Oryzias latipes: one gene and its partners. The protein of the gene in region 2 purifies or fractionates together with the protein of the main gene of each other region. This does not show direct contact. Links are inferred from orthologs where the notes say so. Each region holds a gene or a part of one and is shown on either strand. Other genes may lie near its edges.

Region 1 (4,083 bases), on a different chromosome or scaffold from region 2:
AGATATGAATAAAATGTATGTGTTTTGGGCCAGTTTTCTACATAAAAAGCCAATCAATAGTACACATCTCTTGAAATTGTTCTTTAAATACACTTTTTTTTTTTTTACAAAAAAATAAAAATAAACTGTATATGAAAAAACACAGGTCTGTATTTTAATTACCAACATTAAAAAAGTCAACGTGTTCACATCTGTATTATTAGTGTTTTTTGCTCAGGCACCACTAACCTTGGCACGGACGTTTTCAAATGAGGCCGGACTCACAAGAGAGAAGCAGATGAGGAACACATCCTGTAAGACAAAGACAAAAAAGGTTCAGAGTCCATGAAATTCATTTCCTGTTGAGCAAAAAATAAATAAAAATAAATAACCTATCGCTAAGGTGGTCTGTTTAACTTTCTTTAAAACCCTCTTCTACATTTGAATACCACAAATGCTCCCAATTAATTATTTATAAAAGTTATCAACTAAATAACACCTTGTCTGACTATTTTTGTCATTGTACCGTCTGTGGGTAAGAAAGTGGGCGGAGTCTGTCGTAGTCTTCTTGTCCAGCTGTATCCCAAAGGCCCAGGTTCACCGGCTTCCCATCCACCATAACATTGGCAGAGTAGTTATCAAACCTGTGAGAATCAAGCATTCATAAAAACTCAGTTATGTCATTCAAGCCTTGCTACATATTTCTGAATTTCTATGATCATTAGATAAATCAAACAGGTTTTTTGGGGGTCAAAAATCAAAGCCTTGTTCATCAGCAGTACATGTTTTCAGCTTGTTCTTGAATCAGAATAAAAGCAGAATGTACATTTATAAATAATCAGAATGAACCAAAGTGTTTTGAGTGACAAATTCCCAAAAAGCCACAGATCCCACAACTAAGAAAATAAACTAGCTGGTTGCACTTCTGGTAATTTTACATAACAAATGCTTCTCTGAACCCAAACAGCTGCCTGTTAAAAAAGAAAGTGACTTCTTATGTACAAGGAAACTAATATTCCCCCATAAGACCAGTTGAAGAAATGAAACAAAGACACAGTTAAGCAACAACTGTCCAGAAGAAGAATGACAGACAGCTTAGCCATTATGAATAAATAAACACTCACACTGTGGGGATGTACTCTCCTGGAAAGGCATTGGTGGTGTAGCTGATGAGTAGACATGTCTTACCCACAGCACTGAATAAGAGAAATGTTATGTTCAGAATTCAGGAAAATAAAACATATACAAGCTGTCATTAAAGTCAGGCTTAAGTTGTTCGATTATTTTACATTTACAAAGCTAAAAACAGTCCAAGCATTTTATTTAATAACATCAAAGTTACTTGAAATAATTACAACCATTAAAAATATAGTTTCAAGTTAAATGTGGACACTACGCAAAGTTTGGTTTTTAACAAACTGAAAGGAGGAAGTCTGAGAGTCACATTATCATCCGTAGGATAAAAGCAGGATCAAAATAATCCAATATCAAAAATCAATAATTGCCAGTTAATCATTTATTATCATCTCGTAGGTAATGTCAGTTTTATTGAAGCACTCCTGATAGAATGAGTGCACTGATTTCAGGAAATAAGGTTTTTTTTTCTCTTCCAGGCTAGTTGATGAGTAAGCAGATATTTTAAACTTTTGAAACTTTAAAGAGAACTGGTGCCTTAGAGTTTCTTCAAGTCGGAACGGAAAACAAAACAAAAGTCGGAGAGGTCGAGGGACGACTCCGCTGCGGTGGGACCAGCCGCACCCTCGACAAGACGTTACAAGTGTGTTTACCTCTAGCATATTACACATCAGTCAGACTTTCAATATTAGCTCATTGACAATCCTGTCTTTAAAATATTGCAAACTAAACCTACTAATTTAACTATTGTGTAACACAAAAACACGCCCGTGTCAATACAACAGAAGAAGAAACAAATTTCAACTCTTCGAAAAAGTACATATAATTTTTGCCCATTTTGTTCAAAAATAACTTCAAAACAAATCTAAGATCAATCTAACTCTATTCACTGATTTTGGCGTAAATAAATAAAAAAATCTGGAACATTGGATCCAGAACGGTAATATCAGGGGAAAAACAAATGCAATACAAAATGTTGTACATTTCGAAAAAAAAAGAAAAGAACTTGAAAGTCCAATATTTAACCGATAACTTGGCTAACTTTACAACTCCAAAAATAAGACGCAACATTTATGTCGAATGACAACTTTTCGACATCACTGGCGGTTTCAGGGTTTGATACCAAAACTGTCGATTAAATGTTAAATATCACAGTGAGTTTAGTTAGGTTCAACTTACCCGTCTCCAACAACGACACACTTTATGGCCTGCATTGCGCCGCAGCTACAGGAATGCTAAGTTAGCCCAGAGCCAGTTAACGTTAGCTCGGATAGCTTGTCCTTTGTCCGCAACTCCTCTCAAGTGAAACTACCCAACAGTCTTTGCTAACAGTCGACCGCGCTAACTCAAAACTTTCTAAACGGAGAACGGCTTGTTAGAAAATAAAGTTGCGGCGACTCAATTCGGACTTTAGGTCAACTAAACTCAGAAATTCCCTGGCAACATTCCCATGCTTTCGTGAGCTGCTCTATGAGTTATGGAGCAAAACAGCGGCCACCACCCCTATAGCTAAAGAGAAAAAAAAATGAAGCCAGCTCTACAAGATAGGGCATCCGGCGCACGCCCACAGACACCTTAACCAAAGAAAAGATAGCCTCAAACTAGTAGTAAAAAAAAGGGTCAGCTACTCTGGTCTTAAATATAAAGCTTAAAGTTATATATAAATAACATTTGAAAACTAAAATATTACATTTTGGTTTAATGAAAACAAAATAAAAGAAATCGTCGAAGACGGAATATTTACGGTGTGACACCTAGGGTGGAACTGACGTCAGTTTTGACGCGTCTACGGTTCATTTACGATTACAATGGAATTTTTGGTGTGTTGTTTAATTTCCCTGAATTATGCCTTTCAGGCTGAAAAAGTTTTTTTGGAGATGGAAGGATAGCTTGCTCTCCCACCCCTACACCACGATAAATTCAATTATACCATACCAGCAAACATGCACTGTATTAAAAAATAAAGTAGTAAAAGAAAAAAAAAGTCAATGTGTGCCTATTCTAATACGACAAAGATATTTAGCTTCAAAAATGTAACACAATCAATGATTAGTTGGTCATTGTATTTCCAAAAAGTCTGTAGTACTTTGCTTCAGTTCAAGATTTTTTGTGTAGTGAACTTCTGGAAAACAAACCAATTTACCTGGTTTTGTAATGGTGCAAAAACAACATATATACATATTTAGTAACTCAAAAAACCTCTTCTATGTTTCTGTTTGTTTAGTTTTATGAGAACCATAGTAGTTGTGTCTAGGACGTGTTTTTTTTTTCCTTAGCCACCACCCAGATCTGGAAGTCCTTTCAGTCTTTACTCGGGGTTTTATTTAATCCTGGTTTTACTGCACTTCCGTGTGTCGCAGCGATGTCTGTCCTCGGTAGAAAACTAACAGGGTGGAGTAGATGCCAGTACAACGGCAGCAAAAGACGGAGCTCGTTGAGGGTGAAAGATAGAAGAATGGAGCTTCATCCAACACTTGCAGCCATTGTAGCGTCCCCTTGCCTGTTGCCTTTGTAAGCCAAGAACACAGCGCTCAGGGTTGGGCTTTTATGGCGAGTCTTTCGTATCTGGTGCTCCGGTTTTCGGGCTCCGCTGGTCGGACTTACGGACTATTCTCCAAAGGCTTGACGAGGACTTTGTTGATATTTTTTGATCTCGCATGGCGGCTGAGAATACGATTCCCCTACTTTTACTTGGTAGCCTCAATGGTGTTTAACGTCAGATTACAGGTAAATGTTTACACACTATTTTCAGACTGACGGTCACGGTGAGCTTGTCACCATGCCAACAACAGCTGTTGGGGGGCCTCGATAGGGAACCTTTGTTCTTATAGTCAGTTAATCCCAGGTTAAATTGATATATAATCTCTACTACGTGCTGTCCCATAAAACTGGGTTCATGAAAATCATCTGTTAATCGGAAAAATAATTTACTGACATTTGATCAATAGTGAAACAAGTTCATATTCACCC
Region 2 (4,363 bases):
TCGTTTTCTGAGTCAGAATCGCTACCGTACGAAGCGAGGGAAGATATGGCGGCAGACATTTTGAATGTTGTGAATTTACCGGAAATCCGAGGGCGGGACTACCGGTTACAAAATTATTCAACTTTCATTTAAAAAAATGTAAAAACTCGTTATATCAAAAATTAGGACAATTTTAAAGTTATGAGTGTTTACCAATTATAATGCGGGTACCATGCTTGTAAGACTAATATATTTTATTTATTTATCTATTTATAACATGCATAATGTGACGTAGCACATAAACATGTTTATAGACATGCTATTTTTTTAATTAAAAAATATTAAGCAATGGGTCTTACAGCTGACCAAAATGTATTTTTTCCACAACAGTGAGATCATGAAAAACTAACAAAATGTACTGTTTTCCTTTCTCATTGCAACTTTAAGCTTTTTTTCCCCAATGCACTAAACACAATTTTTAGCCATGTGTTCTGATCAATTTCATTGACTATTTTGTTCTTCTTTTTTGTGTGTGTTTTAGGAGTTTTTTTTCTCCTCAAAAGAACCATTAACTTAACAAATGACAATTGCTTTTTTTTTTAAACTAAACTTTAGGCCTTCAACAAGAAACTGAAACAGGGCATTAGTTACACTCCAGCGTTTATGACTCAAGTGTTGCTAAAGGTAACTGTAGGAAATAGCTCACAGGCGTCCGTAGTTAATCTTTCTGAGATTAAAGTCAGAATTCTGAGAAGAAAAAAAGTCAGGATTCTGAGAAAAAAGTCAAAATTCTGAGATTAAAGTCGAGATTTTCTTTGCCCTTTTTCTCTCTCTCTGTCTGTCCATGGTCCCAAGCCTCTTCTGTACAAGTTAAATAGGATCAGAATAGATCCAAGGGTTCTGGTTCTTACAGCGCCTACAAAACACTGCAGTCAGCAGCAAGCCTGCAAAAATAAAAGCACGCCATGAATCCATTGAAATGTGTAATTTGCATAATTAAGAATGACACATTTATACTTGAGCAATATTGCCTATCTGTTGTATTATAACACAGTTTGCAACTACTACTTTTTTTTGGCATGTATGAGTCTGTAACACAGAGTTATGCAACAATTTCCCTAAAAAAGTGAAGAAAATACAACATAAAGTCAGAAAACATTGGCATATGATAAGAATATATTATAATAATGTTTTCAACCAATTCTAAAGAAATGTGGATAATGTATATTCTGTGTAATCACTGCTAAGTGGAATGTAACTAAATAGTCCCCATTTGTTTTATTAAGCATATAGTTTTTAATTTATACTTTTATGAACAAAACACATTCTAAGAATTTATTTCAAATATGCACAACATTATAACTATTTTTAAAATCTATATTTTATTTTTTAGGTTTCTGTTTTTAACAACTTTTCTGGCGCACTCCCAGTTACAGACGGTTTCTCACTCCTCAACAATGGAGTGGCTCATACCATTACAAGACCGAAACGGGGGCGTTTTCTCCTCAATGAATGCCACATCACGGTCGTAACCTCGAATAAACAACAAAAACTAAAAGTTTTTAAATTAAGGTAATGTTTTGATGTTATAAAACCTGACGCTGTTTTAGATTAGCACGATTTCCCTGTAGTTGCGCCGAATTCCAGCCGGAAAATCCCTTAAAAAATGCAGCTGGATCCTTCTTCGCCGCCGCCTCTTCCAGCAGGAGAGCATTGGATATGAGAGACGGCACAACCATGGATGTAACACGGGGATTTAAATTCTTGGACACGGCGGCACGCTTTGCTTCTTGGTGAAGATGGGAAGAAAATCAGCGGGATTTTAAGGATCATTTTGAGGTAGCATCGTGGCTTTATTGTGACTTCATTTTTTTTCTTTCTTTTTTTTAACTGACAAACGGACTTAAAATGTATTTAATTCCAGCAAGTTAGAAGCAGAGTCAGTCACCATGTTGTAGAGCGTAAACCGGGGCTGTCTTCTTGGCAATAACGGTAATTCAACACTGCCTGGCCATCACTGACTCACGTCAACTCAGCACACAGGTGACTGTAATGCAGAGTGGTCAGATGTGGATTATTCTTAAAAAGTACACGCGTGATCATGCGTATTTACCAGTAAAAGGGCACTTTTTTGATGGGATAACTCCACATCTGCAAGGGCTCCTGCTGCAGAGTCTGAGGATATCATTCGAGGGGGGGGGGGGGGGGGGGGAAGCAAATATTTGCAAAGCCCCATAAATGATCCTTTATTCCCCCCATCTGTGGTGTGTTCACGGGGAAAGGGATATCAGAGTTTCAGTTTAGTACAGTGTGGTAATGACCCCCCCCCCCCCCCCCCCTCCTAGAGCGCACTGACTTGGGGGCTGGGGACTGTTCCAGTCCAGGCAGCTCGGTTTGTACACTGTCGTGGGGGGGCGGGGGATGGTAGATTGTGGTGAAAATTATGGTTTGTGAAATTTGAAACCTTGGTGCAACACCAATGGCCGAGGAACAATGTTTTTACACAGCTTTACACGACAGTTTGAAGATCTCTGCATTGTATTATGTCATATGTGGCATTTCTTATGGATCCCATTCATAGATTTTTTTTCTTAAATGTGTATTGCATGCAAATTTCGGGATGTGAGTCCTTTTTAAACACCTGTGTGATGTGCAGTATATTATTAAAGGTTGTCCGTGTTGTTTTAAATGTATGACTGATGTAGAATGAATCATCTCTTGAGGCATTGGCTGCAGAGCTCGTAATGTTCCCACACTGCTGGTCCTTGTGCTTACGCCGCTGGATTTTTGAGTGTTGGAAGCAGAGACCAGTGATGATTAGCCAATCGTCCTCCTGATATTTAAAAATTCATCTCTTTCTCTCATCTAAATCATTTAACAGCTTAGTTTAGATCACTTTTCCAATAGAATAAATCCTTAAAATGCAGCGAATTCCCCAGAATTGGATGAATAAACCTACTGCACTTGCATTTAATCAAATAATGTCAGTTTAAGTGATGCATTATTCAAGAACTACAGTGGCTACTGAATGTGAAAGTGCCTCGGACTACTACTGGATAACCTAGATCTCTTATTTCCATAGAGGAATCATGCATGTGCGCAGAACGGACTGCCGGGTTTTGAAATTGTTGCAGATGTTTGCAGTAGACGTGATTGTTCCCTCTCAGCTCTCTGTGGATTTACTCATAGATGTTGTAGTGTGGATTTGCTGCGCTGTGACATCAACTCTTTGATGCATAATCAATACAGTACACGCACAGCCTCATGCACCCAACTGCCCCATTTGCAGGTACCGTCAAGGTTTCATGAAAAATGTCTATATATCCATATTTTCTTGTTGTGTACAGCATGTGGGGTGTAGATGCAAGCAGAGTGTGGCATACAGTATTTTCGAAGTATAAGTCACAATCTATTGCTAAGTTTGGCCAGGGGTGAAACTCATACTCAGGAGCGACTAATATGCAATTTTTAAAATATAAATATAGGCTCATATATTTGTTGTTTTTCCACAAACAACCGATTGTGTGTATGATACACACACTATAGGATAACATTGAGAGATACACACACTATAGGTGTGTAACAGTATTTGCTACTGACAGCAACAGCGAAGAATAAACACAGTCCAAAACAGAAATGGAGGAGAATCTGATTGTTCTCTTCCTGACCTTTATGATATATTATTTAATGGCATGAAGACATTAGTGGAAATTTTTTTGCGGGACTGCAAGCAAGTCATCAGACTGGGTTACAGAGACATGGAAGTATTGCTGAAAGTGCCATAATTCTGGTTCCTGCGGTAGAACGTAAAGATCGGCGTAGAAAAAAACCCGAAACAGAATGATCCCATGAAGACCTGACCTCTCAATATTATCTGTGTCTTTTGTGGATTCTAAAGTTAAACTATCTGTCACACCTAGGTTCTCCGCATTTGACCCATCCTCAGGGGGAGCAATGAGCTGCAGACTCGGGAAGGTGGCTTAACCCCCCAATCCAACCCCTTAATGTGTCCCTTAATGGGTTCCATTTTTAAAGTCTTTGGTATGACTCGGCTTGGGTTTGAACCTTCCAGTTACAGGGCGGACACTCTAACCACAAGGCCACTGAACTGGTTATAACCCAGATATACTGTACAATCAATGCTTCCATGTAGCGATGAGGCTAAAAACTTGACTGTAGCGTCTCCATCACATTTGATGTATGAAATGCATTTGACCGGGCTTGTTAGATTTGTTCAAAAGTGTATAGATTTTCTCCAAAATGTACGACTTGTGTTTTTTTTAATGCTTTTTTTTTCTTGCTGCTGGGATTTATACTCTGGGACGACCTATACTCCTGAAAATACGGCATATCCACTTTTAGTTTTTGCTCCTGCATATTTGAC
Region 3 (4,080 bases), on a different chromosome or scaffold from region 2:
TGAAGAGCCTTTGGTCAAACGGTGCAGGAAATCATTCCAGGAAGAAGAAGTGAAGGAGTGACATTAATGGTGGTTAATGATTTCACACATCCTACTCTTTCACACTCACACACACACACACTCAGACTTACTGAGGCTGATTGTTTTTCTTTGCGTTGCCATAGAAAAGTTAAACATTTCAGTCTGTTGCACGAGTGAACTAAACTATGACTCATGCCGCCCCCTCCCAGTTATCTGGAGCATATGCTCGCACAGCGAGGCTCCTCCCACCGTCTGAAACGCACGTGTTCTCTCTGACAGACATCAGGGATGACCTCAGGATCCCGCCGTGGTCTACAACCTGGAGGAGCCTCATTTACTTTCAAAATAATGGTCCTTCCTGGCAGCAGGGGATGCTTAGGAGTTTGTATTACTTGTTCATGATGTAAGTTGGGGGAGGGACTGACTTTCTCTCAGCTGCATGATCAGCCTGATCAGTCTGACGGGGGCATCCTGAGTTCATCGGCCAAAGTAAGCTCAGGAATCCAAGCAGACAGGTAATTTACCTCTCAGCTGTGACCCACAACTGTGTCATGACGGTGAACGCACATCATCGGCCTGATCACATGAGCTCGCTTGGTTAAGAAAACCAACGTTCTCTCTTGTTTCTACACATTTATTTTAGTCAAAATCCTCCAAACTAAAAGTTTTCCGTTCCATATTGAGATGAAGATTATTCAGTGATGTTTCTGGGCAAGTTTAATAAAATCCTCACAATACAGACATACTCTCCTGTAAGCTCCTCCCACTACAAACAAGCCACTCCCTCTAGCCCCGTCCAGTGGCATTGGTTTATTCTGCACTGTCAGAATGTTTGAGCCCTCCTGATGGTGACATAAAGATGTGACCCGCCCTACCTGCCCACCTAACCATGAGCCGCATTTAAAGGGGGGTGTCGGGTTTCCACCTCCCCGAGGAGGAGGAGGAGGAGGAGGAGGAGGAGGAGGAGGAGGAGGAGGGAAAACACCAAATTCCCTTCTGTAGAGACAAGCAGATTTGGTCCAACCATATTTACAGGCTTACTTCTTCCGTTAGAGAGAATGTAGTTTGAGTCCAGACTGACTGTTCTGACCAACCAGTGCCTGACTGAGAGGGGGGGTTACTGAGTCTGCCCCCCCCCCCTGAAAAAGCAGTCAAACTGAAGCTGTATCTATGCTATGACCAGTGCAGCTCAAGCAAAGGGGAAAAAAAGACTCAATTCCATCTGTTTGGACCAGAAAGGACAAAACTGTTGCTCGTAGGAGGCTGGCTCTCCTGCAGAGGGAGGGACCGGGTGTTCAGAGGGCATGGAGCTTTATTCACCACACAAACACACACACACACACACACACTTACACACACACAGAGAGGCTCGGCAAAACTGCTCCCAGGCCCAGAGAAACAGAGGGGAGCAGAGGAGGACGACACGCTTGCTGGGTAAGTTGTTGGCTCTCAGAGAAAGGGGATTCTGACGGCGTTCCTGAGTCTTTCCAGTGGTGTGTGTGCGTCTTCTCATGTTGACTCTCTGCTGATGTGAAGCTCAGGGCAGACTCACAGACAAACACTGAAGAGGCCAGAAAAGAGAAGAGGGCATCAGAATGTAAAAAGAGGAATGCTGGGGCAGTTTTTGGAAAATTCCAACACGTTAAGCTGAGCTACAAGTTCGTGTGCTATCTGATTTCAGAGGCTCTCAGCCTCTCACTTCATGCCTTTGTGCTTCCTTGTTCTCATCCGCTGACTATTCCAGACCGTCAGACTTGCTGAGGAACCACGGGGGGGCAGATGCCGTCACCAACCAAACCCCTGACAGCGAGGAGGTTTCCAACAAAAGACGCACCGACCGACCGCAGTGGAGATACAAACAGTCTAGGATGAGCCTCCGGATGTCCAGGAGGAGGTCCACAGGTGACCTGGTGCCAAAGGACATCACTGAGATCTTAGCCAGAGAAGCAAAGGCTCAGCGTGGACAGAAGACGCAAGCACGGTCTCTGGGTCAGGCCTTCAACTGGCTGAGGAGAAGTAAGAGGAAGAAGAAGAGCACCGGACCTAACCGGGCTTTCAACGACGTGACAGAAAACACCGCTGAACTTCAGAACCACGACGAAGGTCAGAGAAACTCTTCTGGCTCATTTTGGGGTCTTTAAATGATCATTTCAAGATATTTTTTTAATGTAATGGAAGTTTATTCTAAGCTCCAGAGAAACCTGTCTTATGTACTCTCAGACAATATTATGAAGTATTCTTACCTATTTTTAGAAGGTTTCTGGATGTTTCTGAGTGTCAGACAGAGCGCTGTTTGCTCTGTGGGGGGGGGGGGGGGCACCTGTGGTTCGTCCCACAGGTGTCTGCTCAGGTTGAGGTCAAGAGTCAGTCAGGTTCTTCCGTTCTAAACTCATTCACCTTTATGGACCTGGATGTTCAGCAGGAGAACAATGAGGAGAGCCCCCATGTTTTCTCATGTTTGCTGGTTTGCTGGAGGATTGAGAGCTTCTAAAGCAGTCCCATACCATTACACCACCTCCACAAGCCCACCCTGCTGGCTCAGTGGGGTTAGCAAGCACCAACCGCTGTTCACTCGCCAAATGTAAACATCGGAGAAACGTGATTATTTCCACCCCAATGCTCCTCGGTCTGGTGGTTCTCCATCATGAGCAGAAATGAGGTTCCCAGCACACAGTTCTGTTTACACCAGTGTAAACCAGTTTGGACCCTTCCTGATCAGTGGAGTGGTTCTCCTTTGAGCTGTTGGCTTTAGTGGTGACTGGTTCCATTTAAACTCGTCTGCATCTTCTCTTCTCACACCCACTCCGGCTAACTGTTTCCTTCAACCACATTTGTAAATCTCCTCTTTGCCTTCATCTTCATCACTTCCGTGTTCAGCATCCTCCTCCTCTCTGCCCGTCTTCCTTCGTTGCTCCCTGTAGAATGCTGGAGACTTTTCAGCGCCACGTATATGAACATAAATGTTGTGATCCTCAAACACTTTCAAGATGACAGGAACAACAGAAAGCCTAAACCAGTGATGATTGGCTGCTTCAAAATCCCTCATCTCAGCAGACGTTAGTCTCCCACACAGTTTTCTCCCTCGGCAGGATGAGCTTCTCACCAAAATGTTTCAAAGGAGCCTCCCTTTGCTAACTTCTGACAGTTCTCCCAGAGCGATAAGCTGCAGAAGAATCTGCTTTTCTCCTGGATTCAGACGGAAAGTCACAACAGAATTACAGCTCAGGACATCTATGACTCTGTGAAAATCCCACACAGAGGATTTGAATTCCTTCTTTTTTATTTACTGATGCATTCAACCCCCCCCCCCCCCCCCCCCCCCCCCCCCCCCCCCCCCCCCCCCCCCCCCCCCCCCCCCACCGTCCATCCATCCACACTTCCTGTTTTTGCTCCGTCTGTGACCCGGCTCTTCATTCTTTTCTCTTCACCCCTCGCCGTGTGCATGTGTGTGTGCATGTGTGTGCATGTGTGTTTGTCCATGTGTGTGTGCGCATGTGTGTGTGCATGAGGCAGGGTGGTGAGGGAGGTGGCCACTGCCTGGATGGACAATAATGTTTGTTCGTATTTAGCTAAATATTCCATGAAGCATGGATTCTGTAAGGAGGAGCAGCGCTCCGACAGAGGATGTGGTTGAAAGCGGATCTTCCGTTCTGCAGGAATGCTGCATTTTTTGGCATCTATGTTGTGAGTTTACTGTTTTGAATTCAAGCAGACCTCGGTGAAGCAGAATCACACAAACCTCTGTCTGGTCCAGAAGAGTCAGACAGAAAAGTGTTTTTATGCCTAATGATCATTTTAACTCCTCTTTAAGTTCTTGAAAGTGACACACATTTTTAAATGTTATTGGTGTCAGTAGATTGACTTTGTGGATTAAGATTAGATTGAGATTACGTTTTCGTTTTTCTTTTCTTTTCTTTTTTTAGTTTAGTTTAGTTTAGTTTAGTTTAGTTTAGTTTAGTTTAGTTTAGTTTAGTTTAGTTTATTCGTGTTTTTAATTCCAAAACAAATACAACTTGAACCAGGGTGGGCTGCATGGTGGTGTAGTGGTTAACACTCTCA

What was found.
Region 1: the proteins of wasf1 (region 2) and ras-related C3 botulinum toxin substrate 1 purify together in Homo sapiens (affinity purification with western blotting; 3 studies listed by BioGRID and IntAct, with this or other methods). This does not show direct contact. The link is inferred for Oryzias latipes from reciprocal best matches to the Homo sapiens genes WASF1 and RAC1.
Region 3: the proteins of wasf1 (region 2) and uncharacterized protein KIAA1522 homolog purify together in Homo sapiens (affinity purification with mass spectrometry; 3 studies listed by BioGRID and IntAct, with this or other methods). This does not show direct contact. The link is inferred for Oryzias latipes from reciprocal best matches to the Homo sapiens genes WASF1 and NHSL3.

The regions. Positions count from the first base shown.
Region 1 is NC_019866.2:11,732,763-11,736,845, forward strand, and holds the start of ras-related C3 botulinum toxin substrate 1, read right to left. Parts: upstream 2,876-4,083; 5' UTR 2,328-2,875; coding exon 2,293-2,327; intron 1,176-2,292; coding exon 1,104-1,175; intron 624-1,103; coding exon 506-623; intron 292-505; coding exon 229-291; intron 1-228. UniProt on the Homo sapiens protein: Plasma membrane-associated small GTPase which cycles between active GTP-bound and inactive GDP-bound states.
Region 2 is NC_019882.2:8,074,595-8,078,957, reverse strand, and holds the start of wasf1 (wiskott-Aldrich syndrome protein family member 1), read left to right. Parts: upstream 1-1,513; 5' UTR 1,514-1,818; intron 1,819-4,363. Other genes in the region: cdc40 (pre-mRNA-processing factor 17), read right to left, coding at 1-59.
Region 3 is NC_019869.2:25,726,100-25,730,179, forward strand, and holds the start of uncharacterized protein KIAA1522 homolog, read left to right. Parts: upstream 1-1,280; 5' UTR 1,281-1,455; intron 1,456-1,765; 5' UTR 1,766-1,889; coding exon 1,890-2,124; intron 2,125-4,080. UniProt on the Homo sapiens protein: Able to directly activate the TNF-NFkappaB signaling pathway.